Linked DNA regions of Solanum lycopersicum. Each later gene encodes a partner of the first gene's protein in a complex. Links are inferred from orthologs where the notes say so. Each region holds a gene or a part of one and is shown on either strand. Other genes may lie near its edges.

Region 1 (6,228 bases):
TTACGTACTGACCTTCCTCTTCATATTCTCTTTTCTAGATTATTTATTCAATAAACTATAGGAGTCTAGGTGTGTCAATCATCTCTCTCCGGTAACTTTTTCGGCCTATCTCTATCTTTCTTGAGACTCCCCACAAGTCAATATCTTACGCCTTCTCTTCACTCCCCTTTTGTCTAGAATATCTGCATTTCTAATTTTATCTTTCTTAGTATGCTCGTTCATACATCCATCTCAGCATACTAATTTCTGTTACTTTCAGCTTTTGAACGTACAAATTTGATACTGATCAACACTTCTTTTCATACAACATTAGCTAATCAAATATCCACTTTATAAAACTTACACTTATCACTCCAATATATTTCATTTCTTTACATATTAGTTATAAAGCAAAATTAAGTATTAATTGTATGTTTTGATTTTTCTTAGAAATATATTTAGATTTTATATTTATGACAACAATGTGGCACATTGTCATTGTATAGTAATCTTCCTTTGTTTTTATTATTTTATGAAGCAACACTGCTTGCTGGGCTCAATAACATGGGCTTGTAACCCAAGTGGGGGCATTAGTGTGGTGGAATGTTGGGCTGGTCATCCAAATGGTTGGGCTTATATCTGGCCTGCCCTATCGAAGTACAGAGTTGGGCCTTGTGGTCCAATCGAAGGAGTGGGCTGCTATTTCCTAAAGCGGAACGGACTGCGTGAGGTTGGTTTCACAGAGCAACGAATAGTTCCTGCTCTAAGCGTTGGAAGGATAGCACGTCGATGCCTTCCGAGTCCCAGAATCGTCAGATGGGCTGCTCCACTTTTTGGTCTATAAAACCATTTTTTCATTCGAATGTATTTTGAATCTCCCTAGTGAGAATTCTAATTTCGACGATATCTTTTCTTCCATAGAAAAACAACTTATATCTAAGAGATGTTAATGTTTTGAGTAAATATTTCATGTACCCAAATGTGGCAACCAACGAGTAAATTACTACTTTATGAAAATGCTTCTCAAGGAAATAATTACCACAATAAATCTAAAAATATTTACTCCATATTCATATTTGCTTGAGCTTCACGTGTATCATAATTTAAATTCGTTTATATCTTTTATCTTGGTTTTCACCCATTTAATTTCCCAAATACTAACTACGTAGATGTTACTCTTCTCGAGAATTTTCACTTATTCTCAATCGAAGACGTGGCCTTGATTTACTATCCAGTTCCTAAATGCAAGTTAGAGTGAAGCAAAATTATTAATGAGAACAAAAAAGGCAAGAAACAAACAAATATCTAGTACTAATTAAATCAAGTAACACAACAAACTAATAAATCAAAATATATTAATGATAAAATCAAACTTTATATTTTCAAAATAGTATATGCTTTGTTTATAGAGAACAAGCAATATTCCAATTCCCACATCGTTAGTGGACATATTTCTTTTTATTTTTATAATAATCTATGATGCAATATTGTATGTCGAGCTTAGTAACGTGGGCTTGTAACCCAAGTGGGGATGTTAAGGTGGTGGAATATTGGGCTGTCCCAGATGGCTGGGCTTGGTGGGCTAATTTCTGGCCTGCCCTATCCAAGCACAGAGTTGGATCATGTGGTCCAATTGAAAGAATGGGCTACTAGATTCCTAAAGTGGGGTGGACCGCGTGAGGCTGGTTTCACAGAGCAACGAAAAACTTCCGCTTTGTGCAGTGGAAGGATAACGGACCGGTGCCTTCCAAGTTCCATTAATGCCTGATGGGCTGCTCCAATTAAACCACCACTTTTTTTCCGATATAGTGACTCATGAACTTCTCAATTTTGCTGGTTTTGTAAACGGGACTTATGATTTATATCGTTATCGGTGCCTTCCAAGTTCCATTAATGCCTGATGGGCTGCTCCAATTAAACCACCACTTTTTTTCCGATATAGTGACTCATGAACTTCTCAATTTTGCTGGTTTTGTAAACGGGACTTATGATTTATAAGATATAGCGAGTAATGAACTTCTCTAGGTTTAATCTTCCAAGTTTTGAAAATGGAACTTATACTCCCATCGACATGTTATGTAGGACTTACGTCTATACCTTATAAGATATAATTTGTGACTTTATGAACTTTTTAAGGTATAATGTTTTGAAATTGAACTTATGTCTACAGAGGCATAAGTTTTGTATGACATAACATATGCCTTACGATTGTATTTTCAAAGACTATTGATCCGACGAACAAAAATTAAAAGCCACCCTATTTTGAGTATTCATATGAACGACTATATGATTTTACTTCAGTGAAATGATATGGTATGTGTTGTTTATCTCATCAAAATTTCAACACAATATGTTATCGAGTACTTATTCAGGAGCAAAGCTAGGTAGGACCAAAAGGATTCGTTCGAATCACTTTCAGCGATTCATTGTTTATAAATAATTAAAATTATTTCTTAATTTTCTAAATATTTAATATTTCACTTTTTTTACTCATCCAAAAAAATAAAAAGTAGAAATTAATTAAATACCGGACGACACCGTTTTGGTTCCACCCTTAAAAGAATCTCATTTGATATATATTTGTGGCGCAAAACACTTGTGCAGATACACAGAGCAACAATGGCGTTTCTTACTGGAAAAATCTCTACTTTACCCTTCAAATTTTACACTGTTTCATCTTCTTCACAACAACAAGGTTTTGTTTCTCTCCATTTCTACATTCACTGAACAAAATCCTCTTAGAGGAACTTTTTTTTACAAAAAATGACAAACTTTTGCTATGAGTTTTTTTTTTAAAAAAAATTGAAACTTTGTGTGTTGATGTTGTTTGAATTACTCAACAGATGCAAACCAAAACCTGAAATCAGTGAAAATTAGAGAAGATTGGAGGAAAAAATCTCGACCTATTCCTCCTGGTGGGACTTATCCAGCTAAAGACCACTGCAGGTTCATAATTCTGCTTTTTTTTTTCTTAATATAATTGAAATTTTAGCTTTTAATGCTGTAATGGGAGGTAAATTGCGTAGCTTGATCATTTTTCTATGTATTTTTTTTTTGAAGTTTTTAGTTTTTGTAAGTTAGACTAGTGAAAAAGTTGTTATTTTTATTTGTTATCTTTAAACTATGACATAAATACATAGATAGATATCTTAGGTTGGGCTCAATTGGCAACTGAACACTCAAAGTGTGCATCTTAACTGGTCTTGGCTGTGTGAGTTAAACACTCCCAACGTACAAAATGATCATCTAGACATATAGTGCCGGGTGTCTCGGAGACCGTCTAGATGTGCATTCTTAAAGTTGGAGTATTTAGTTGTTAGTTAAGCAAAGTTAAGGTGTCTATTTATGAATCACTCCCTCTCCGTCCAATATTGTTTGTCATGTTGTGTTTTTTGAAAGTCAATTTGACTAATTTTCAAAGTTAAATTAAATCACATTAATTCGATATTTTAAACAAAATAATTAGATATTTTAAAACTATATGAAAAGTACTATAAATTGCAATTTTTTGCATATTAATACGATGAAAAAATACACCTTAAAATGTTAGTCAAAGTTTTTATAGTTTGACTCTATGAATAGACACCATGACAAACAATACCGGACGGAGAGAGTGTCTTAAACTAATATGTGTTTGAAGAGTTCTCCCTTTTCGGAAACTATAATGGTTCAATTTTCATAGTAAATGTGAAAGAACTATAAATATGAGGGAGATTGGGCATTAATTTGGCATGAAGTATAAAAAAGAACCTGAAGTATTCAATTTGAAATGGAGGAAGCATTTCATTGGGTCTTTGAAGCATCGTAGCTTTCCATATCAATTCGTCCTAAGTTGGGTCAAATTTTGTAGAATGGAAAAAAAAGGAGCTTGAATGATGAAGTATTGTTTGGAAGACTGAAATATAAGTTTTGACGTTCACAAGAATATCATATATATTAATTAGCATTTTTTTTGAAATTGGTAAATAATAATTAACATTATTTATATACTAATTCAATGTTTTTGAGGATTATAAGTTAGTATCATTTAATCACTCATCTTCATACTTATTTAAATTAATTTCTTGTATATTTTGTGACTATTTCGTAATCATTATAGTAGTTTTTTGTCTGATGGTAGTTTTTGTTTCTGGTTTGCAGCCACTGTGGTTTGTGTGACACTTACTACATTGCTCATGTGAATAATGCATGTGCTTTCTTGGGGGATGGCATGTCTAGAGTTGAAGTGAGTCTTTCTCTACTTTAGTACATGTAGATACTGTTGCTTTTAGTTGCAGTTCTTATTGTTTATGCCTAGTTTTTGTTCCTTAAGTTTGTCATAAATGACCTACTGGAGTTTGATTATTGCATGCTTTCATTGTCACATGCAGATTTTCCCTGTGAATTTTGTTTTGTCTTTTGTGTCCTTTGAAAAGCTATCTCATCCATATGGATTTACATCTTATGAATATGTACAGTGTATGCAGTGAAACAAGACTTGGCTGTGATATTGCAGTGTGTTGTGGAAGTCATAAGAAAAGTTTGCAAGCTAGAAAGATGCTCAGAGAGAGTACTGGTTCATGTTCTCTGAGACCGTGTAATCCACTATTAGCTCGTGTGCAATTGAATTCATCTTTCTTTGGTCACTCCACTTCCATTAAAATCCCTTCTGTTGGGAGCATGAGAGTTTTTAACACTTTGTTATTAGGAAAAGTTGCATACTAGAACTTGATGGGTTCACTGGTCCTCGCCTCCGACCCCAACTAGTTCTTTTGACAAGCATGTTTGAATTTTATATTTCTGTTTCACTCTCTTGGGTAAAAGGTATGCTGCTTTGAATGTTGACAAGATATGGAATAAATGAAGTTTTAGGCATTATTATAGAGCTATAAATTACACAAGGTACAAGACACGTATAGTGGATCTTCATAAGAATGATTTCTCTAGTTGTTAACATAATCTCGACATACTGAAATTTATGGGGTTGATAATGTTATACTGAAACACAGTATGGTCGGACTCTAATCAGACTCCTCATAGGGCGATGGGAAAACATTCATAGACCTCCATCAAAGTCTTCGCTATGGTGTACATCTGTCCTCTTCTCTTTTCTCTTTTCTTTGTTTTTTCTACCTTCTGTTTAATAATTTCATACAGCTTAGCATAGTTTACAGGTACAACGTAATCTCGTGACAGGTCAAACTTTTTTCCCCAATTCTATACAATTTTTTTTTTTTTTTGGTTATTGTCCAAAGGAACTTGGTAAAGTTTGAAAATTATTCCGTCTTTAGTTTGACTGGTGGGTGGAGGGTGACAGGGGGTGCATGTAAGTTCTTTTATGAGAAAGAATGATTTGATTACTCACTAAAAAACTTCAGTGCTTGCTACGAGTAGCAGTTCCTTGGAATGCGTTCTCAACTCAGTCATGCTATGCTATTAGGACCTTCTCTTTTGGTCAAATTTATATGAAGTAGCTCAAAGTACAGATAGTATTTCTTATGGTAAAGTGACCAGATGATGTTGACTGTTCCTTATCATCTTCTTTAGGCTTTGGAACCTATTGTCCATGGACGAGGACGGAAAGAAGATTCCTTGGATGAGATTTATATGGGGGTGTATGAGAATCTATTGTATGCTCGTAAAACTAAGCCTGTGGAAGGTACAACTTTGGATGCTCTTATGTAGTATTCTAGTTCAATTTACTGTTGCTTGTTTTCTTGTGCTCTCTAGATCACTAAAAGAATGTGCCAATTTCTATGAATCATCTGGTCATATTCCTATCTTTTTCTTTCTGGCATTCAGGAGCTCAATGGACGGGGATAGTGACAACTATTGCCGTGGAGATGCTAAAAGCTGGGATGGTGGAAGCTGTTATTTGTGTTCAGAGGTATGGCTTGCATCCAATTTGGTTAAAAATAATTTAGTTCTCCCTCCTGGTTAATTTCACTGTACATGAGTTATGCACTTGAAATTTTGGTTTCTTTCTTCTACTTATTACCCAGCAATTCATGGACTCTTTACCTTCTTTTTTTTATGTTGTTTAGTGATCCAGAAGATCGATTTGCTCCTCGACCTGTCCTGGCAAGGTTTGTGACTGGGAATTCCTGAGCTATTTGTATTCATGTTGATTTTTTACCTGTTAATTTAACCATTTCGATCTTCAACTTTAATTTTATGTTTCTAATAGGACTCCAGAGGAAGTTATAGCAGCTAAAGGTGTTAAGCCGACACTGTCTCCTAATCTAAATACTCTTGCCTTAGTTGAGGTTT
Region 2 (6,111 bases), on another chromosome or scaffold:
AACCGTATATACATGATACTCCTCGGAAATACATTGAGAGTTCATGACCCATGGGGGACTCGCGAGGTCCATATACCGACACGGACGATCTCCACGTGTCTGTGCGGACGATCTCAACGCACTATCATAATATCAAACAATTTTCACACGGACGGTCTCCATGTGCCCAAATTACAATCTTAACATCTCACCATCCCCAGCACGGACGATCTCCACGTGCCCAACTTATACTCAGTCTCATGTCTATGCATGTGCACAATATTATTTCAAAAGAGGGGATGATGATGCATCTCAATCAATCAATATGAACATAATACATAACCACCTCAATTATCACAACTATACGGGTGAAATAAATAAAGCACAATCACACAAGGAATTCAAGTCAATAATATATCAGCTAATGCCCATATGCTTTGGCATTCTCAAATTTTAATCCACATTCTATAATAGAAATTTTCCTTTTTATAACACCGGTACTCGTACCAATGCCCGTCACACCATTGATACGAGACCACCACTTTTTCCCCCTTACTCCATTGTCTATTTTCATTTTTAATCTTTAATTAGGAAAACGTCCTTCAACAAGTCTAAAAAGTCTTAACATACCTTAGATGCCGAGCTTGTGCCACGAATCTTTTAAGATTTTTCCTTTCCTTTTCGCAAGGTTTCGGAACGTTCCCAATCTACCAATTTTTCAATATTCGTAAGTAAGCAATTTTTTTGTAGACATTCAAATTATTATATGTCTATCATAGACGCTAAAACTCACACATATTTTCAACAAACTCCAAATCTTGATATATATTGGTATGCCAATTTTTTTTCACACTTGCTAAATTTCAAGCCAAGAACTTAACTCTAACCTCTTCAAATGGACTAAAACTCAATGTTAGATCATATAAAATAACACCTAATAATTAATTACCAGTCCCAATATATTAAAAACTAGCATTTTAATATATGAATACACGTGAACAAAATTTCCACCCATTGGCAGAAGTGGAACGCCCCTCCCCTTTTCCCGTTTTTTTGTGCTATTTGTTCTGCATGCCAATTAAAGCATTCCCCCATTGTTGGTACCTTTAAATTCTGAGGTGTGAGTATACCCACCCGACCTGAGCATAACTCCAAGAAGACAACCTCTGGTTTCAAGAAATTGATCACTGCCTTAACTTCTTGGCAGGATTCCGAAGAAACGTGAGCAGTGCTAACAACATACACATCGCGAATGCCTCCATTGGCAGAAGATTGGTTTTTTTTTCCACATCTCCACCAATTCTCCCATTATCAATATAGCATAGAATAATAATACAATCCCAAACACTCCGACAATATATTACTATATATAGAATTGAAAAGAACGAATATCTCATATCTTTACCTGAACAATGGCTGTGATTTTCTCCCTCTCGCTGGTAGCCTGTGATAAGGTTTCGCCTCCTTACTTTTCGTTTTTTCTTTTCTTCTAAATAAGAAATTATTAATCGTGAAACTCCACTAATCTATTATCTAATTATTTATTTAATAAAAGTTTCATCAATTAGGTACTCATAGTTATCTAAAAGCTTAAAAATAACCCTTTAAATTTTCAAAAGGAGCCAAACTAGTCCTACTTCTCAAAACGACCTAGCGGGTAGTTACAATAACAATATAGGAATACAATAAAATTTCTAATTATAAACAATAAAATAAATTAATAGGGTAAATATGTAATTTGTCACTTTAATACATGTATAAATAATACCCGCATAACTTATTTTACTTTCTACCTTACATAACTTTATACATAGATTCCCTCATAAGTTATGTTGATATAAATTATATAAAACTACAAAAATGCAACCAAACATGATATAAGTTATGTTGACTTTTCTACCTAAACAAGAATTTCTACTAAATATTGCATAACTTAATACATTATTTTATACATGAACAAGAGACAAGTTATACCATAACCAAACAGTGTTGAAAAATCACTCAAAATGTGATAATGTTAAATGCCCAAACAAGTAGGTACATAGCTACCACAATGGATCATATTATCTTAGAAATATACATACAGAATTCATGAATAAACTCAAATAGACAATTCACTTGCGTATTTGATTTTTGTTAAACACATTAGAATTGAAGTTTTGATTATTTTTGAAACACAAGTGGGAGAAGGAGATAATGTTGACGGTAATATATATGCGGACCTACAATGACACGTAGCAGATGAAACGTGTAGATAAAGAGTAGCTTTAACGTGTGGTCATCAACTTGGTTTCCCTTTGATCTTTCAAAAATCAAATTCCTTCCAACTCCTTAGATATTTTCTTTTTGTAGTAGACTAGATCCGAGAAAATTTCAAGTCACACAATCCAAATCCCTAAAAATTTGGATATTTATATCTCTTTCCTTGCATATATATAAAATTCATATAGATCTTTGTAAAACAAAACAAAAAGTGCACCATTTTTCTTTTTTATTTTTATTAAAATAATAAATGGACATGGTGGCGAAGGTACACGTGTCAACGCACCACCTACTACCGAGCAGTAATGTTTTCCGGCCTTCGATTGTGAAGGTTCATGGACGACGTAGAGTTTTTGTACAACCTTGCAGGAGCTTTAAGTCTGATGATGCTGAGTATGTGAAGGTGAACAAGTTGGTTGGAGCTATTAGGTCTGCTGTATGGAGTTGTTCAAAGCCAAGTTTGAGAACTGAAAATAAGCTTAGAGAAGCTATGGAGATGTTGGAAGAGAGATTATTCTGGGTACATATGTTTCTTACACATCTTTAACATCAATTGAGAATGGGAAAAAGTTAAATTTGTATTCCAATCTTGCAGTTGGCTTTATATGTTGGAAGATATATTATAACAATGATGAGCACAGGTGTTGTCATGTTCGTTGGGTTTCAGTTGTCAGGTTAGCAAATTCATTTATCATCTTTTGAAAGTTTTTAAGGCATGGATTGATTGGTAACAACTAATTCTAATTGTTACAGGTGGAGATAGCCAGATGAATGAATTGATATGGTACAGCTGGCTTGGAGGAATTATTATCGGCACTATGATAGGATCCAATTTAGTTTTGGATGATGTTGCTCGAGCTGGCCCCCGTAATGTCCTTATAACTGGAAGGTATAATACTTTACTCATACCTTCATTGTTTGTAATTACCATTTTAATTATTTTTTGGTGCAGTACAAGGGGACTAGGGAAAGCTCTTGCCCGCGAATTCTTACTTTCTGGAGATCGGGTCATTGTTACCTCCCGCAGGTAATTAATTGATTATTTGCATCCACTTATTTTGTTTAGCATCTCTTGTAAATACATCATTCCTTAACACAGCCCGGCATCTGTCCGTTTGACTATCGAGGAGCTTGAGGAAAATCTGAAGGAAGCTGTCAATGCTGCCACCGGCTCTGCTAGACTAAAGTTGGCACATGCAAAACTGGTTGGTATGGCTTGTGACGTCTCTGAACCTGTTGATGTTAAAGAACTGGGCAAGTTTGCTGCAGATGAACTTGGTTATATTGACATTTGGGTGAGTAATTTTCTTTTTCTTCATAGCAAAAGACCACCACAACAACAATATACCCCGTCAAATCCTACAAAGTGGGGTTTGGGAGGGTAGAGTGAGTGTACACAGACTTGGACTTTACCACTACCTCGAGGAGGTAGAGAGACTGTCTCGAGAAGACCCTAGACTCAAGAGCATTAAACCCAAGTAAAAGGAGAGAAAATATTGGAAGTGTCAAGAGAAAAACAATAACAGTAGGATAATCAAAATACAATACACAACATATGACAAGAACTACAGGGTTGTGAGTAGAAAATACAGTCATCCACATCCAGAGGACTTGTGAGGAAAAACAGCCTCTTTCCTGGTTTGTTGTTCTGTTTTCATGCTTCTAAAGGTTGTCTTTTATATAGGTAAACAATGCTGGGACAAACAAAGGCTTTCGACCCTTGCTGGAGTTCACCGACAATGATATTCAAGAGGTATCCATGTTGTTGACAGTTCTCATATGTTTATGTTGATACTCTACAACTTCTTCCATTTCTAAACTCTTGCAAAATAATTGCTTTCAAGGCTGCATATATAATAGAAGATGGATCGGGGGTGGGTCGGTATTAGGGTGGGGTATATTAAATTGTCAAGTAAGAGCTGCTTTTGTTGTTTTCCCCCCTCTCTTGTGGAAGGGTGGGTGGTGTATGCACTGTGGGTTTTCTAACTGTTCAGTTGCAGAACTTTGTTAACAAATTATTTTCCCCGTCCCCCCAACACCTATATGTAGTTTGTATACTTTATATACCAGGTCACTCATTTTAACTTTCCGTTTTCCTGGAATTATCCATCAATATGTACTAATGCCTTCTTTTAACTACTACTTGAAAATTTCCCCGTTTCGTCATGCATAGCAAGGTGTTCATGCTTGTTGACCTTTTCAAGTTAACACTCCATGTGCATATAATAATCAACTATCTGCTGTGTGTACTTGCATGATGGGTAAGCTAATATTCTAGTAAGTATTTCTGGTCTGTTGCTTACCAAATTTTTTTATACAGATTGTCTCAACAAACCTGATTGGTTCTATACTATGCACTAAAGAAGCCATCCAAATCATGAAAACCCAAAGCGAAGGTGGACATGTCTTTAATATGGATGGTGCAGGTTCTGGAGGATCTAGCACCCCTCTAACAGCTGTGTAAGTTGATTGTTGTGGTTGTAACTTGGAATGCTAGGTTATCTATTGTAAATAGCAGATCTTTACCATTTATTCATCTAATACTTTTCTAATGGATATTGATTTCGGTGTTATCATCTTTACTGTTCTGCAGCTATGGGTCTACAAAATGTGGTCTCAGGCAGCTTCAATCATCCCTACTGAAGGAGTGCAAGCGGTCAAAAGTTGGAGTGCATACGGCGTCTCCAGGCATGGTCCTAACCGACCTACTTCTGAGGTATGTGAAGAGGATCATCGGATCTTTGCACTTAAATGTCTTTTGCGTTGCTTTCATGGACAATGTATTGCTGTAGAAGGATAACTCTGTCCGGTTTGGTATTATTTCTGGTAGTGCTACCAAGGAGGACTAGTTATCCACACCATTCAGCGGTACATAAAGACTACAGTAATGTTAGAACAGAGATTCTTACCTCTTATATAATTCTCTTTTCTGGTGTGCAAGGAAGGATGAAAATTTCAACTTCTTTTTTTGTTATAGTAATCAATTGTGATCACTTCTTCTAATCCTTCCATAATGGTAAAACTGGAGCCTAATTTAGTGATCTCCCTTTTATACTCGATCTCCAATGCCTACAATTACATATAATGGGTGGTTTTGGCTGAATTTGAGTGGGTCAAAATGGCTTGAGTTAATAAATGGGTGGGTTATTGACCCACCCAAAATGTTACTTGCTATGGATTGGACTGAAATGGGTCAAAATGCGGGTATCCAACCAATCCAATTCTTATTAAGTTTTAATGCTTTGTTTGTTCTTTAAAATTGTTTCTTTTTTTGGACTTTATAAAACTAGTTTTCCTTTATTACGACTATACATAACATATCAAATTTAGAAAGAGTCTTTTTGAAAATATGTTGACAAGATTGCTCATGAGTCAATTTATGCTACATATCAATGCAATAGAAATTGGGCTGAAATTGGTTGGTTGTGCTAATAAATGGTCGGGTCAATAGCCCATTGAAACATGGGCAGGTTATGTTTTCTTCGGCTAATTTTGCCGCATGGAGAAGGTTAATAATGATACTCATCTACATAATTAGGCTTTCTTTGTTTTAACTATTAAAACTGTTTAGAACTTTATACTTTTCTTTTGGGTTTTCATTCTTACCATATCAAATCATTTTATAGTTCAGTTTATTAATAATGAGACTCTCCTGCAGTGGATCAACTATCCAAAATAGGCAGATGTTTAACATCATTTGCGAACATCCAGAGACAGTTGCTAGAACACTAGTGCCAAGGATGCGGGTTGTAAAAGGAAGTGGAAGAGCCATCAATTATTTGACTCCACCAAGGATCTTAATTGCCTTAGTAACCGCATGGTTGAGACGGGGCCGATGGTTTGATGATCAGGTAACCTATTACATGTAAT
Region 3 (5,550 bases), on another chromosome or scaffold:
CTAAGTGTTTGTATGCTAAAACTCAGCCATGTTTTTGTGTAATCACTGGAAGACATGACTTTGTATTAGATAAGGATATAATATGTTCAATCTCCTGTTAATTGGCAACTTTAAAAGAATTCTTTACCTTCTAGCAAAACCATTATATTTGTAGCTAATAGCATGTGCTCATGGATTATATTTCAATCTGCCTACTTTGTTTCCCGAAGTGGACACATGGATATAAAACAAGTCACTCTGAAATATACAGCTGTTTCTCTATTTGTTTTCACTTAACTGCAGATGTCTAGAATTGACGTTATTTTATTATTTCAGGAATAGGCTATGCATTAGCTAAAGAATTTCTCAAGGCAGGTGATAATGTCATCATTTGCTCCAGATCAGGTGATTTTATATCATAAGTGACAATAACATTGACTTCAATGATGTCATTAACTGATAGAATTATTGGTTTTCGCATTGTTCAGTTCCTCTCTTATATTTGTTTTATTTTATAGTTTGTGAAAAAGGTAGTCAATTGTGTAAAAATGAAATATGCAGAATATATGGTGGGATCATGGGAATCGATGTGCCATTAGTGGTGTACCATAGTTCGAGAGTCATGATGATATAGGAGGAGTTGGGATACATGTTTAGTTTAAGACCACAAAATATAAAAGTCTCTCTTATTTTCTGAACTTTGTGCTTAGTCAAATTAAGACACATAAAATGAAACGGAGGGTAAAGGTGATTACTTCCCATCTGCTTAAGGCTTGATGGACAGATTACTGAATACCTATGCTGATTGGAGTTAGCAAGTATTCAGTGGAATAGTCAAGGCACATTAAACGATTCATACACCACCGTATTGTAAAAAAAATCAAGGAAATCATATGATGTAGGTGTGTGATGTCCAATTGCTACAGTTATCAAACTCGAGTGTACTATGGCAATGAAAGATATTTCATTATTCTCCTTATTCACCAAGCAAGAGATATGATGCGCAACAGATGAACACTAACTACTTCATAGTTAGTTCCTTTTGGTTGCCACAATACTATAAGAAAGAAAATGAAATTGTAATAGGCTCAGTAGTCAGAATAACTTGGATGCTGGGATCATGTTGTTGAAAGTTTGCACTGCTCTATGGTTATTATTTTAATTAGCTTGTTGTAGTTTTCCTTCCCATCAAATAGAAGAAGAAGAAGATCGGAAACCAATATTTGTATTTGGCCTTCGTGAATTTGTACCTGCACGCTCGCCTTAGTTGCGCGGACTCTCCACTTTTGGTGCCGCTCCCGTCTTGGATTCTCCAAAAATACACTACTTTTGGCGAATCCGACACGCACCCATTGACATTTTTGAAGAGTCCGAGCAACATAGACGCTCACATAAGGGGTAAACAGAGTAGTTGGAGAAATTTTACTTTTGAGTAGTTTGTATCCACTTCTGTTAAGGATGACCGTGGTCACTTTTGGAACGAAAGCTAAGAAGCTACAGCTTGTGGGAAGAAAAAAAAAGTTGCAGGCATTGGGTTAGTGATCTCTAGAGACATTAAGTGCCATACATGCAAATTAAGGAAGTAGTGAAAGCAATGGATGCAGTTTATTAGAATAGAGATAATGGGAATCTTGCTACTTAATTGGAGATAATATGGGTTGAAAGGAGCAGAGTTTGCTGAAGTTAGAAAACAAAGGAAAGGAGGAGATCTGCTGAAGTTTGAATGGAAGATTGGGAGGGATGGCATATTCATGATCTAGTTTGATCTCTATGGAGTCATATATCAATAATTGCTGCTCTCCTACCTTGATGAGTCTTATCCGGGTCCTGAACTAACCATAATTGCAATAACATAAGACTGATGATTTTGCATGGTACCTTGATACAGTGATATTTTCTCTTTTCCATTCGTTATCTTGTAACTCATGGGGATGTATTCTCATTCTCTTTTTTATTTTATTGCTTTAAAGCTCACACTCTCTTTATGTTAGCTCTTCATCTCCCTACACTTGAATGGAAAAGAAACAACTTTCTTTGGAATATGTAGTTTAGAATTAAATGTAATTACATCTTTAGAGTTGACCATTTTTTTTGACAGATGAAAGAGTTGTATCTGCTCTCGACAGGTTAAGAGTTGAAACAGGGAAGCAGCATGTGTGGGTACCTCCATTTTCACTTCATTTCTTATAGACCTTTAGTCATTCTTTGATTCTTTCTGTGTACTCATCACTAGTTTCGTCTTCAATCAGGTTCTATGGTGATTGATGAGTATTTTATTTCGCTAATGACTAACATAACTTTGGGCTTCATGCCTACCGATTGACTTGAACTTTTGATTTCCTGAATCATGTTCTATTGAAAGGAAGGTTGTAAAGTAAAAACCAACAACAACAACAAACTCAGTGAAATACCAGAAGTGGGGTTTGGGGAGGGTAGAGTGTACGCAGGCCTTACCACTAACTCTCCATGGTAGAGACTGTTTCTGTAAGACCTTTGGTTCAAGCAAATAAAACACTAACTATAAAAAAAAACTGACAGTTAATATCAAAGCAGTTGGAGCATATCAATGCAAGGAGCCATAATAATAACAAGCTGCAGTTACCTAAACACAGTAAACCACAGATGATCTCGGATACCAAAAACCGAAGACTTAATGAATATGCTAATACTACGACCAGCACGGAGCTCTACACTTCCACCCAGAAAAATACATGAATGGGCTAGTAATAAGACAACTCCCAGCTATACCTACATACCGTCTATCCATGATCTCCATATCCTCCTATCTAAAGTCATGTCCTTGGTAAGCTGAAGATGTGCCATATTCTGCCTAATATGTAGTTTAGAATTATATATTATTATGTCTTTAAAGTAAACCAAGGGTCTGTAAATATACTTACTGGCCCTTGCAGGTGTTATGGCCTTTCTTTTACATGATTAGCTTAAGCATTATTTTTGTCTTCACATGCTTGATTCAGATCCCTATGCAGGGCACCAAGTGTGATGTTAGAGAGGGAGATGACGTGAAGAACTTAGTTGCCTTTGCGAAGGAAAAGCTTCAATACATCGACATATGGGTATCTAATCTGGATCCTTAATTTGCTTAAGATGATAAGGTCACAAACACTCTCAATGTTCTTTGTATCAGAAGTCCAGTTCCCTTTCTGATTTGATTGTAAATGTTCTCTTTTTATCCTTTCATGTCACTGCTTGTTCAAGAATTATTGTTGGTACTTAATCCATAAATTTAGTTGTTTGAACTGCTGCAAAGTCATAATAAATATTAGAGTTAATTCCTCACCCAACTTATGGAAATGACCTACGAAAGTTACTTATTCTTTTGGGACAACAAAGTCATTCAATTATCAAATCTCCTCTTAGTTCATCACAAGGGGTATTGTTTGAGGTTAATGCTTCCCAAAGCAACATCTTTGGCATGTCGTTGAGGAGGTAGGCTTCTGCGTACCTTCCTTAATCCTTATGTGATTAATAGTAGTGTTAAAGAATGTCAAAAGTTACACATTGGTGCTTAATGAGAAGGGTGTACTCTTGATAAGGTTTGAGTAATCGTCCTCCGTTTGAGCTAGCTTTTGGGTTGTGAGGTAGGACCCAACATCTAATTTAACTTGGTATCAGAGCAAGACCCATCTCACCCTATGTTGAGCCTCTAAAATTAAAAGTTGCCCACGCACCAGATGTTAAGCACTGGGCATGAGGTGAGTGTTAAAGATGAAAAAAGTTTTATATGGTGGTTAATGAGATTTGTGTACTCCTTATAATGCTTAGACAATCCTTCTCCTCCCTTTAAGCTAGCTTTTGGGGTGAGGGCTAGGTCCAAGGCCTAATTTAACAAGTAGGATAGGTTTTTCCATAGGCTTTTAGTTCCCCAATGAGTTTACTCAGTCGGGAGAACATTCCTCATTAGTCTCTCCTTCATTTATTTGGAATAATACTCATAAAGTAGAAGGCTGACTATAGTCTGCTTGACTTGCCATTTCCTTCATAGGTCACTTCTAGCTTATCCCATATTTCTTTAGCAGTTTCACCACTTGTGATCTTTTGATATTCTTCACCACTGATTGCATTATATAGTAAATATTTTCTTAAGATTATACCTGAATAATTTCCAGTCATGTATTATTTTTGTCCACCAATTTTGATAGATCAATTGCTCCTTCAATTTCTGTTGTTTTTTCCTTGCTTCCAGATTCCTTATCATCACTCTTAGTTGTAGGTATGGGAATGTCTCCCAATTTGATCACCCTCCAGACCATTACACCATATGACTTGATGTAGGTTCCCATTCTGACCTTCTAGTGTGAGAAGTACTTCCCATTGGAGTAGGGAGGCCTTGTCTGAGAGGTTCCCTCTTAAAATAAAGCTTCAACTGTAATGACTGGCAATTAAATGATGACGCAAGTTATAAAACAATAAGTAAATGACACTGGGTATTTTTATACCGGTTGGGATCCAATGTGGATTTTAGTCCAGTCCCCTTGGGTTGCAAGGGATTTTCTATGCAAGTACTTTGAATAGTTGATGAGTACAAGTCCCTCAAGGTTTAATCCTACGTCTACACTCGATCTTTTTTTCTCTTGACACAATGCCTCACCAACTATATTTTTCCTCTCTTCTCTGTTTTGATTACACAGTAAACCATTTAAGAATTACAATGCTTGTTAAGAGTAGAACAATGCACTTTGAGGAGGCTTTATACAAACGTATGTTAGTCTTTGGTCTTCAATGATTGATTATATGAGGACTGTTGTTTCATTAGCAGAGAGGGCAACCCTAAGGATTTGATCCTTGATAAGGGAAATTGATTTCCTTTCCAACAATAAGGGACAACTCATCCAAGAGGCTGCTGTTGTATTATTTTTACTAATCTTCCAAATATCTCTTTTGCCACTTCTGTAATTTCACTGGGTCTTGATTAGTACTTGATACTGCTTCCATGTGATCTCCGTGAGTCTTGCTTCTTTCCTTGGAAGTCATCTAAGATCTGCCTTTGATTAAGTCCTTGAAAATCTTCAGTAATTAATAGCTTAGACTTTCCATAATATTCCTGCATACATTAAATCATCATTAAAACCTGACCCTAACAAATGGATCTGCTTAAATGACACGAAAATTATCTTGTAAACCTAGAACATCAATCAACACCCATGAACTTGAGTTCAAGAAAATTTCACTCAACTAAATCATTCGACATTACTGTACACATGCAAAGATAATTTGACAGCCCTGTTAAATTTTCTTTATAACAGGTCCCTTTGCAGCGGTGTAGTCATGAGCACCATCTAGTTCTTTGCCAAAAATCCTAATGGCTTTGTCTTTTATTGGTGCTGGACGAATTACGAAAATTTAGGAGAAGGATTCCATGTTCATGAAATCCTGCGTTTCTCTATCATACATGTCCACCAACTTTGTGTTGTTTTTTGAAGAGTAGGGAGATTTTGGAGAATAGACTGAAGGCTAAAGGAATGGAGATGAGGGTTTGGAACAAAAGAGAATGGTTAAGTAGAAGCAAGGGAGTATGTTGTCTTATATTTTCTGCATTGAAGTTATGTG
Region 4 (6,095 bases), on another chromosome or scaffold:
AAAAAACATACAAATAAAAGACAATATTCTAAACGAGATACTCAATCAAATAAAAAGACTTGATTCTTTTCCAAATGCTTATATTGCTTATAAAATCATTTGAACAAATCCTGCAACAGTTGTCTCAATAGAAAGAAGTTTTTCAAAATTTAAAACAATAAAATCTTATATAAGATCAACAATGTCTAAAAATAATTAAGTGGATTGACTATATTATCGATTGAAAAATAATTACTAGAATAGATTGACTACACAAAATTTTTTTAACAACTTTGCATCTAAGAAAAACTAGAAAAATAGATTTAAAATAAAAACATATATAATTTTTTTAAAAAAATTAAGGCCTCTAGTTTAATTTTGGCCTTAGGCCACCAAGGATTTGAGTCGCCTTATATATGGGCCATTTGGCTCCTTTAGGTTTGCATGGTATTTGGATTTATCCCATGTTATCTATATTTTACGAAAAATTATGCGATTAAGCAAACTTATACAGCTTAATTACTCATTATAGTTATAGTTTGCTATAATTACCACATGCGACTAACATTAACCATTAATTATGTGGGCTGACTTCGAGTTGTATAATTAGTCACGTTTGTATAATTATCCACATTCGTATAATTCACAACTAACAATTCTTTGTTTGATTTATATTTCTATACGATGATTTGTATTTGCATATGAGATAATTTCCTTTGGTTTCTCAGTTTTGTCACTTTATATATTCAATCTTTTTGTGTATAGCTTTCAAAAGTTTGTATAAACGTGCACTTTTTTTTTATAATATAATTTATTTAATGTAACTATTTAAAGTCAATAAATGTATATTTATATCAATTCGTTATTTTGAGGTGTTTTTTTTCATATTTGTATAATTTTAAACTTAATATTGCTCAATCATGCAAAAACACGGAATTATACAAAGGTACCCACGAATTATACAAACGAGATGCGAATATACAAATTATTGCCCTCTCTCACTTGCCTCTCTCCTCCCTCTCCCGATCTCGCTTGATTCTCTCCTCTCTCTCCCAATCTTGCTCGTCTCTCTCCTCCCTCTCACAACCTAGCTCGCTTCTCTCCTCCTTCTCCCAATCTTACTTGTCATATATACAAAACCTATATGAATAATATTCAATTATCTAACCAATATACATACACAATTTACCTCTATCCCATTTCTACCCTCTCTCCTCCATCTCTCAATCTCGCTCATCTCTCTCCCTCCTCTCTCAATCTCGCTTGCCATATATAGAAATACATATGTATAATACACAATTATCTACCTGATATACATGTGTAATTCACCTCTCACTCTCTCGCTCGTATCTCTTATCCCTCTCTCAATCTCTCTCGTCACTCTCTTTCTCTATAACATATAGCTACGAATTGTAATTAACAAATTATAACTATGAAGCATAATTAGGCTATTTTTGAGTGAATATATGCAAAGTTCCTTTTTATATTATGGACCAATTCAAGTTTTTTAAAACTATAGTTATAAATTTGATAAAATATAATAATTTTCATAGATATAATTGATAAATTAAGAAATGCATTAATTTAAAGTCAAAATAAATTCATATTGCGAGAACAATCATTATATGAGATACAAACCGTTTAAAAAATCATGATAGAAATTATAAATTTTATTTACATATGAAATAAATGACTGGTATATATATATATATATATTGTATTTTTAAAAATCAGAATTTTGAATTAGGATTTAAAATACAAAAATTTGATTAAAATAACCATGTTTAAGATATGTTTAATCAAATTTTTGTATTTTAAATCCTAATTCAAAATTCTGATTTTTAAAAATACAAACGACAGCGTATTACATGGGCCACAGCACGTGATGTTCGTTTGCTTCCCAAAAAGCAAAGAGATAGCAGTGAACATGACAGTCCTCCTGCTATGGCTGTTCCACTCTCCTCTGCCAAATTTCACACTTCAATTCTCACACAATCACTCCCCTCTTCTTCCTCTCGTTCTTTTTCCGTCGGAAAACGCTTCTGTTGCTCGTCGTCATCAACTTCCATGGAACATCATGAATCGAAATTTAAGGAATTTCCTTATGCATCTGTTCCGCATAGAGAGTTAATGGTGGAACTTGTATCGACTGTGGAGAATCGTCTTGGAGAGTCTCTACTTCCTTGTACTCTGCCTTCTCATGTGCAGTATTTTGAGAATGAATCTGCTACTGCTCATGCTTCTCTCTATGTCAGATCTGGAAATTCCTCTTCTCAGGTACTCTCCGACTACCTCCTCAATTGATTCTACTATTTATTACCTATTCATTCGTTTTTGCAGTTGTGTCAATTATATGTAGTATGATATAGAATTACTTCCTGTTGGATGTTTTGTTGAATTAGTATATACAGGGTGAATAACAAATCTATGGACAAAGAAATTGATTTTCATAATAATAAAGTGTGATACCAATAGTTTAGAACCCTTATTTTCAAGGAAAAGTTTGTCTTGGGACTTAATGACGACACTGAAGTGCACATTAAGCGAAGTGGTCAACATGTGTAAGCCTTGCTTCAAGGCTTGAGCATGCATAAAGTATGCAACCAAAAAAAAAACGCCAAGAATTTTCTCCTAATGCCCTTCAATATGAATGAATACACTACTATCTTGTACATAGTGAAGTTGATAAAGAAAACAAGAAAATTATTATGTACTATAGAATAATGATTGAGAAAGCTAGATCTTGTCATCTTATTTTAGTGGATTTGGCTTATGCAGAAGAGTTAATCCATTACGCATTGTGCTTTTTGTAGATTGTCCTTTTTACTATGTATGCTAATTCTTTTAATAGAAGTAACATGAATTGAAATGCCAAATACTTATCTGTATAATGTGGTGATGGGAGTTAAGAAGATCAGCAAATGTATTTTTGGTTTTATTCACCCAATGAAGTCAGACAAGATTTTTATCAAATCTGTTTCCTTTGAGCTAATTTCAAATTGAGTATTTCTTGTTCAAGCTATATATCTTGCACTTTCTAGTAAATAACAATCCATTCGTTACAATTAAAAAATATATAACAAACAAAATTCGTGAATGTGCTGCAAACTCCCACTAATATTTTAATAGTTTGCAGTTTGTTCTGTGAAATACATCTCAACTAGTTTTTCTGTGATCTTGTCAAAGTAGTTTGATCTCTGCTTGTTCCCCATTCCCTAGCTTCAGGAGCTGTAGGGGGAAAATTCATATGATCTGCAATCTCACCTTCTCACCATTACCATTCCCAACTTCAATATCTGGCGGCACTGAGTTTCCCATCTGAATAGGTGCTGAGGTAAGTTGTGAACTAGTATCCAATCTGGAACAATAGAAGTTTCTTGCTCTGGTTTAAAATTCTGTGCACATCTCAGGATTTCATAGTGTATGACCGACCCAATGTGAATGAATGACTTGAAAAAATGTTATTGAAGTCTGTTTTGTTACAGAAAGTCAATGTAAATAGTGTTGTAGTTGTAGTACCCAATCTCGACTCTTCCTTTCAATTGAAATTGACTCACAAAAATTTTCCTTAGTTCTTTCATAGTAGGTTCCTTTGATAAATTTACCCACAATAGTCATTTGCAATTATTAGCCAAATTCACGAAATAGTCATCAGCAGAGAAATATATGGTTGGCTTTCCGAGATGAGTCTCATGCCTAATTTCAACAGGAGCTTCGGCGATTGAGGCATTGGCAAATCAGCTTGAACCTTTCTGTGAAGGTTGGTTTCGATGAAGTAGCACCCTTTTACCTTTCCCTGCTAAATTGGGATGTTTCTGTTGGAGTTGAATATTGGGGTTCTGATTTATCAGTGGCAACAGGGTTATGATCAGTTCCATTGATGTTGGTCGCGTCATCCGATTTCAATTTTGAAGAGGGTGTGTGAAATCTGAGGACACCTTTGGCTGAGGGGTTAAATGATTTTGGTGGGTGGATTTTGAATGGGTAGTATTTTCCTGTTGAGGTGTTGCATGCGTGATCTGCAAAAGAGTAGGCTGAGTGTTAATAGCAAGTTGGAGGTTCTGGTGAACTGTTAGGGGCAAGCTTTAGGAGTTTATTATTGTCCATGTGTTGTTCCTCTGAAGGATTGGAAGAAATAGGGGATGATGTTTATTGGTGTTGTGGTTGTTGGTGCTAGAAGGAGTTGATTATTGTGTGTTTGGGATTTTTCGGCTGGATTGGTTCAAACTAACCATTGGGGGTTGTAGGAGAGCGGGTGCGTTTTACTGAGTTGTCGGTGTAGGAGAGACTGCAGTTGGTTGAGATGAGTATGGATTGAATGTATAACTAGTGTTTTAGGTGGGTTCCGATGCACAATTGGTGTTTGCTGAAAAGATCAATAGATCTTCATAGAGAGAAGCTAAGAGAGTGTGCATCCAAAATTGACCAACCAATGTAACTGCTCGATTTCAAGAATTATCCTTGTTCATAATTTGTAGTTCTCTGCAAGTTGCATTCACCTGATGTCTTCTTGGGGAGTTATACATAAGGACTGCAAAAGCATCAGGGAGATAGCAATTTGGATCTGGCTTCTGTTCATTTATTCTTATCCAGTTCCATTCCTCCGCTTATAGTTAGTCATTCCATTGAGAGTTCTTTGACAAGTCCATTTAGTGTTCTTTTTCTAATGCCTATAATAAAAGATGAACTGGGAACACACAGTTAACGATTTCAACTTTCTCATCAGGAGTATAAGCAAGGTTAATATTTTTGCCTATTCTAAATTGTGACAGGTTGATTTCATACTTGGTAGTTGGGTTCACTGCAACTTACCCACCGGCGGAGCATTGAATATTACAAGCCTTTCCGTATATTTGAGACCTTCAACTGATGCACCAAACTTCTTAATTGAAGTTATTCAAAGCAGTCCAACAACTCTCATCCTCATTCTTGATCTACCTCCGCGAAAGGACCTTGTCCAACATCCCGATTACCTCAAGACCTTTTATGAGGAAACACAATTAGATAAGCAGAGACAACTTCTCGAGAAGCTACCTGAGGTAAAGCCTTATTTCTCTTCTTCTCTATATATTCGTGCCCTTGTCTCTCCATCAGCTATCTTGGTTTCGATAGAAACCGATCCTTCCCAGGCCATTCGCATTGATGAAATTATTCAGGATCACATAAGTCCTGTTGCTAAGGTAATGCTGGATACATGGTTGAATCTGTGTGCTTGTACTGAGAGAAGATTGACAGATGATGAAAGTAAAGATCTGGCTAAGAGGGATCAAATAATTAAGAATAAGACTATCGAGATAGATCTTGAATCAAGCTTCCCTAGGCTTTTCGGGCAACAAGTAGCTAACCAGGTTTTAGGAGTACTAAGGGAAATCTATAACAGTTGAATTTCTTGGTCCTGCTGCTGTTTGATAGTGTGATAATTGTATGTAATCATTATAATTCTTCAACATATAATACATTTAAAAAGATGTATATTGAGAATAACAATATGTATTTTACCAAGGTGTTATATCATATGCCACTTTGTAAAGGGGTTATATTCACTTTAACAGATCTAGAACTGGAATCAAACACGCATTACGGCATTAGAGAGAATTTTAATTAATTTTATTTTGATTTGATAAAATTGACAAGTAATTTAAGACAATCATTTACAATGAAGTGGACTATGAAGGGAGAAATAGACCATTTTTCCAATTGGATGGAAGAGGATTTAGGCCCAAAAAAAGAAAAGAATACTTAAGTTTGACAAAGCATTATAAACATTTCTAAGTTGGGATAAAATATGAAGTTGTGAGAATTAGTGGTTTTCTTAGCAGGTATTTTGTCATGCGATACCATATCATGATATGGAATCGTGAGATGAAATCAGCGTTTAAATATGTGATTTCATGTTGATTTCATCTCATTATTACGTATCATGAAATAGAATCTCAAATTCTTCAAAAATCATGATATGGAAATTCCATATCATGATTTGAGATGTTTAAATACAAAAATTAATTCATAAGTTTATATTTTGTTAAAACAATCCCACATTTATATTTACTGACTATTTATTTATATATAAATAAAATTTACAATCGTTTCATTACTTTTTAAAATTTATTATTCTC

What was found.
Region 2: coenzyme F420 hydrogenase_dehydrogenase beta subunit-like (region 1) and probable chlorophyll(ide) b reductase NYC1, chloroplastic share a complex: the UniProt entries of both Arabidopsis thaliana proteins name them as parts of the SGR1-CCE-LHCII complex. The link is inferred for Solanum lycopersicum from reciprocal best matches to the Arabidopsis thaliana genes HCAR and NYC1.
Region 3: coenzyme F420 hydrogenase_dehydrogenase beta subunit-like (region 1) and chlorophyll(ide) b reductase NOL, chloroplastic share a complex: the UniProt entries of both Arabidopsis thaliana proteins name them as parts of the SGR1-CCE-LHCII complex. The link is inferred for Solanum lycopersicum from reciprocal best matches to the Arabidopsis thaliana genes HCAR and NOL.
Region 4: coenzyme F420 hydrogenase_dehydrogenase beta subunit-like (region 1) and red chlorophyll catabolite reductase, chloroplastic share a complex: the UniProt entries of both Arabidopsis thaliana proteins name them as parts of the SGR1-CCE-LHCII complex. The link is inferred for Solanum lycopersicum from reciprocal best matches to the Arabidopsis thaliana genes HCAR and ACD2.

What each region holds. Positions count from the first base shown.
Region 1 is NC_090808.1:67,935,337-67,941,564, reverse strand, and holds the start of coenzyme F420 hydrogenase_dehydrogenase beta subunit-like, read left to right. Parts: upstream 1-2,575; 5' UTR 2,576-2,598; coding exon 2,599-2,674; intron 2,675-2,822; coding exon 2,823-2,925; intron 2,926-4,119; coding exon 4,120-4,204; intron 4,205-4,436; exon of another isoform or gene 4,437-4,555; intron 4,556-5,505; coding exon 5,506-5,617; intron 5,618-5,760; coding exon 5,761-5,845; intron 5,846-6,002; coding exon 6,003-6,044; intron 6,045-6,145; coding exon 6,146-6,224; exon of another isoform or gene 6,225-6,228. UniProt on the Arabidopsis thaliana protein: Probable iron-sulfur flavoprotein that converts 7-hydroxymethyl chlorophyll a to chlorophyll a using ferredoxin as a reducing equivalent. Catalyzes the reduction of a hydroxymethyl group to a methyl group. Belongs to the chlorophyll catabolic enzymes (CCEs).
Region 2 is NC_090806.1:26,307,859-26,313,969, forward strand, and holds the start of probable chlorophyll(ide) b reductase NYC1, chloroplastic, read left to right. Parts: upstream 1-2,026; 5' UTR 2,027-2,491; coding exon 2,492-2,761; intron 2,762-2,836; coding exon 2,837-2,915; intron 2,916-2,994; coding exon 2,995-3,130; intron 3,131-3,193; coding exon 3,194-3,268; intron 3,269-3,340; coding exon 3,341-3,536; intron 3,537-3,925; coding exon 3,926-3,994; intron 3,995-4,561; coding exon 4,562-4,701; intron 4,702-4,834; coding exon 4,835-4,957; intron 4,958-5,899; coding exon 5,900-6,092; intron 6,093-6,111. UniProt on the Arabidopsis thaliana protein: Involved in chlorophyll b degradation. Belongs to the chlorophyll catabolic enzymes (CCEs).
Region 3 is NC_090804.1:48,918,732-48,924,281, forward strand, and holds part of chlorophyll(ide) b reductase NOL, chloroplastic, read left to right. Parts: intron 1-315; coding exon 316-384; intron 385-2,077; coding exon 2,078-2,139; intron 2,140-2,957; coding exon 2,958-3,056; intron 3,057-5,550. UniProt on the Arabidopsis thaliana protein: Required for chlorophyll b degradation. Chlorophyll b, chlorophyllide b, pheophorbide b and pheophytin b can be used as substrates. Belongs to the chlorophyll catabolic enzymes (CCEs).
Region 4 is NC_090802.1:10,422,867-10,428,961, forward strand, and holds red chlorophyll catabolite reductase, chloroplastic, read left to right. Parts: upstream 1-1,856; 5' UTR 1,857-1,923; coding exon 1,924-2,256; intron 2,257-4,751; coding exon 4,752-5,363; 3' UTR 5,364-5,509; downstream 5,510-6,095. UniProt on the Arabidopsis thaliana protein: Catalyzes the key reaction of chlorophyll catabolism, porphyrin macrocycle cleavage of pheophorbide a (pheide a) to a primary fluorescent catabolite (pFCC).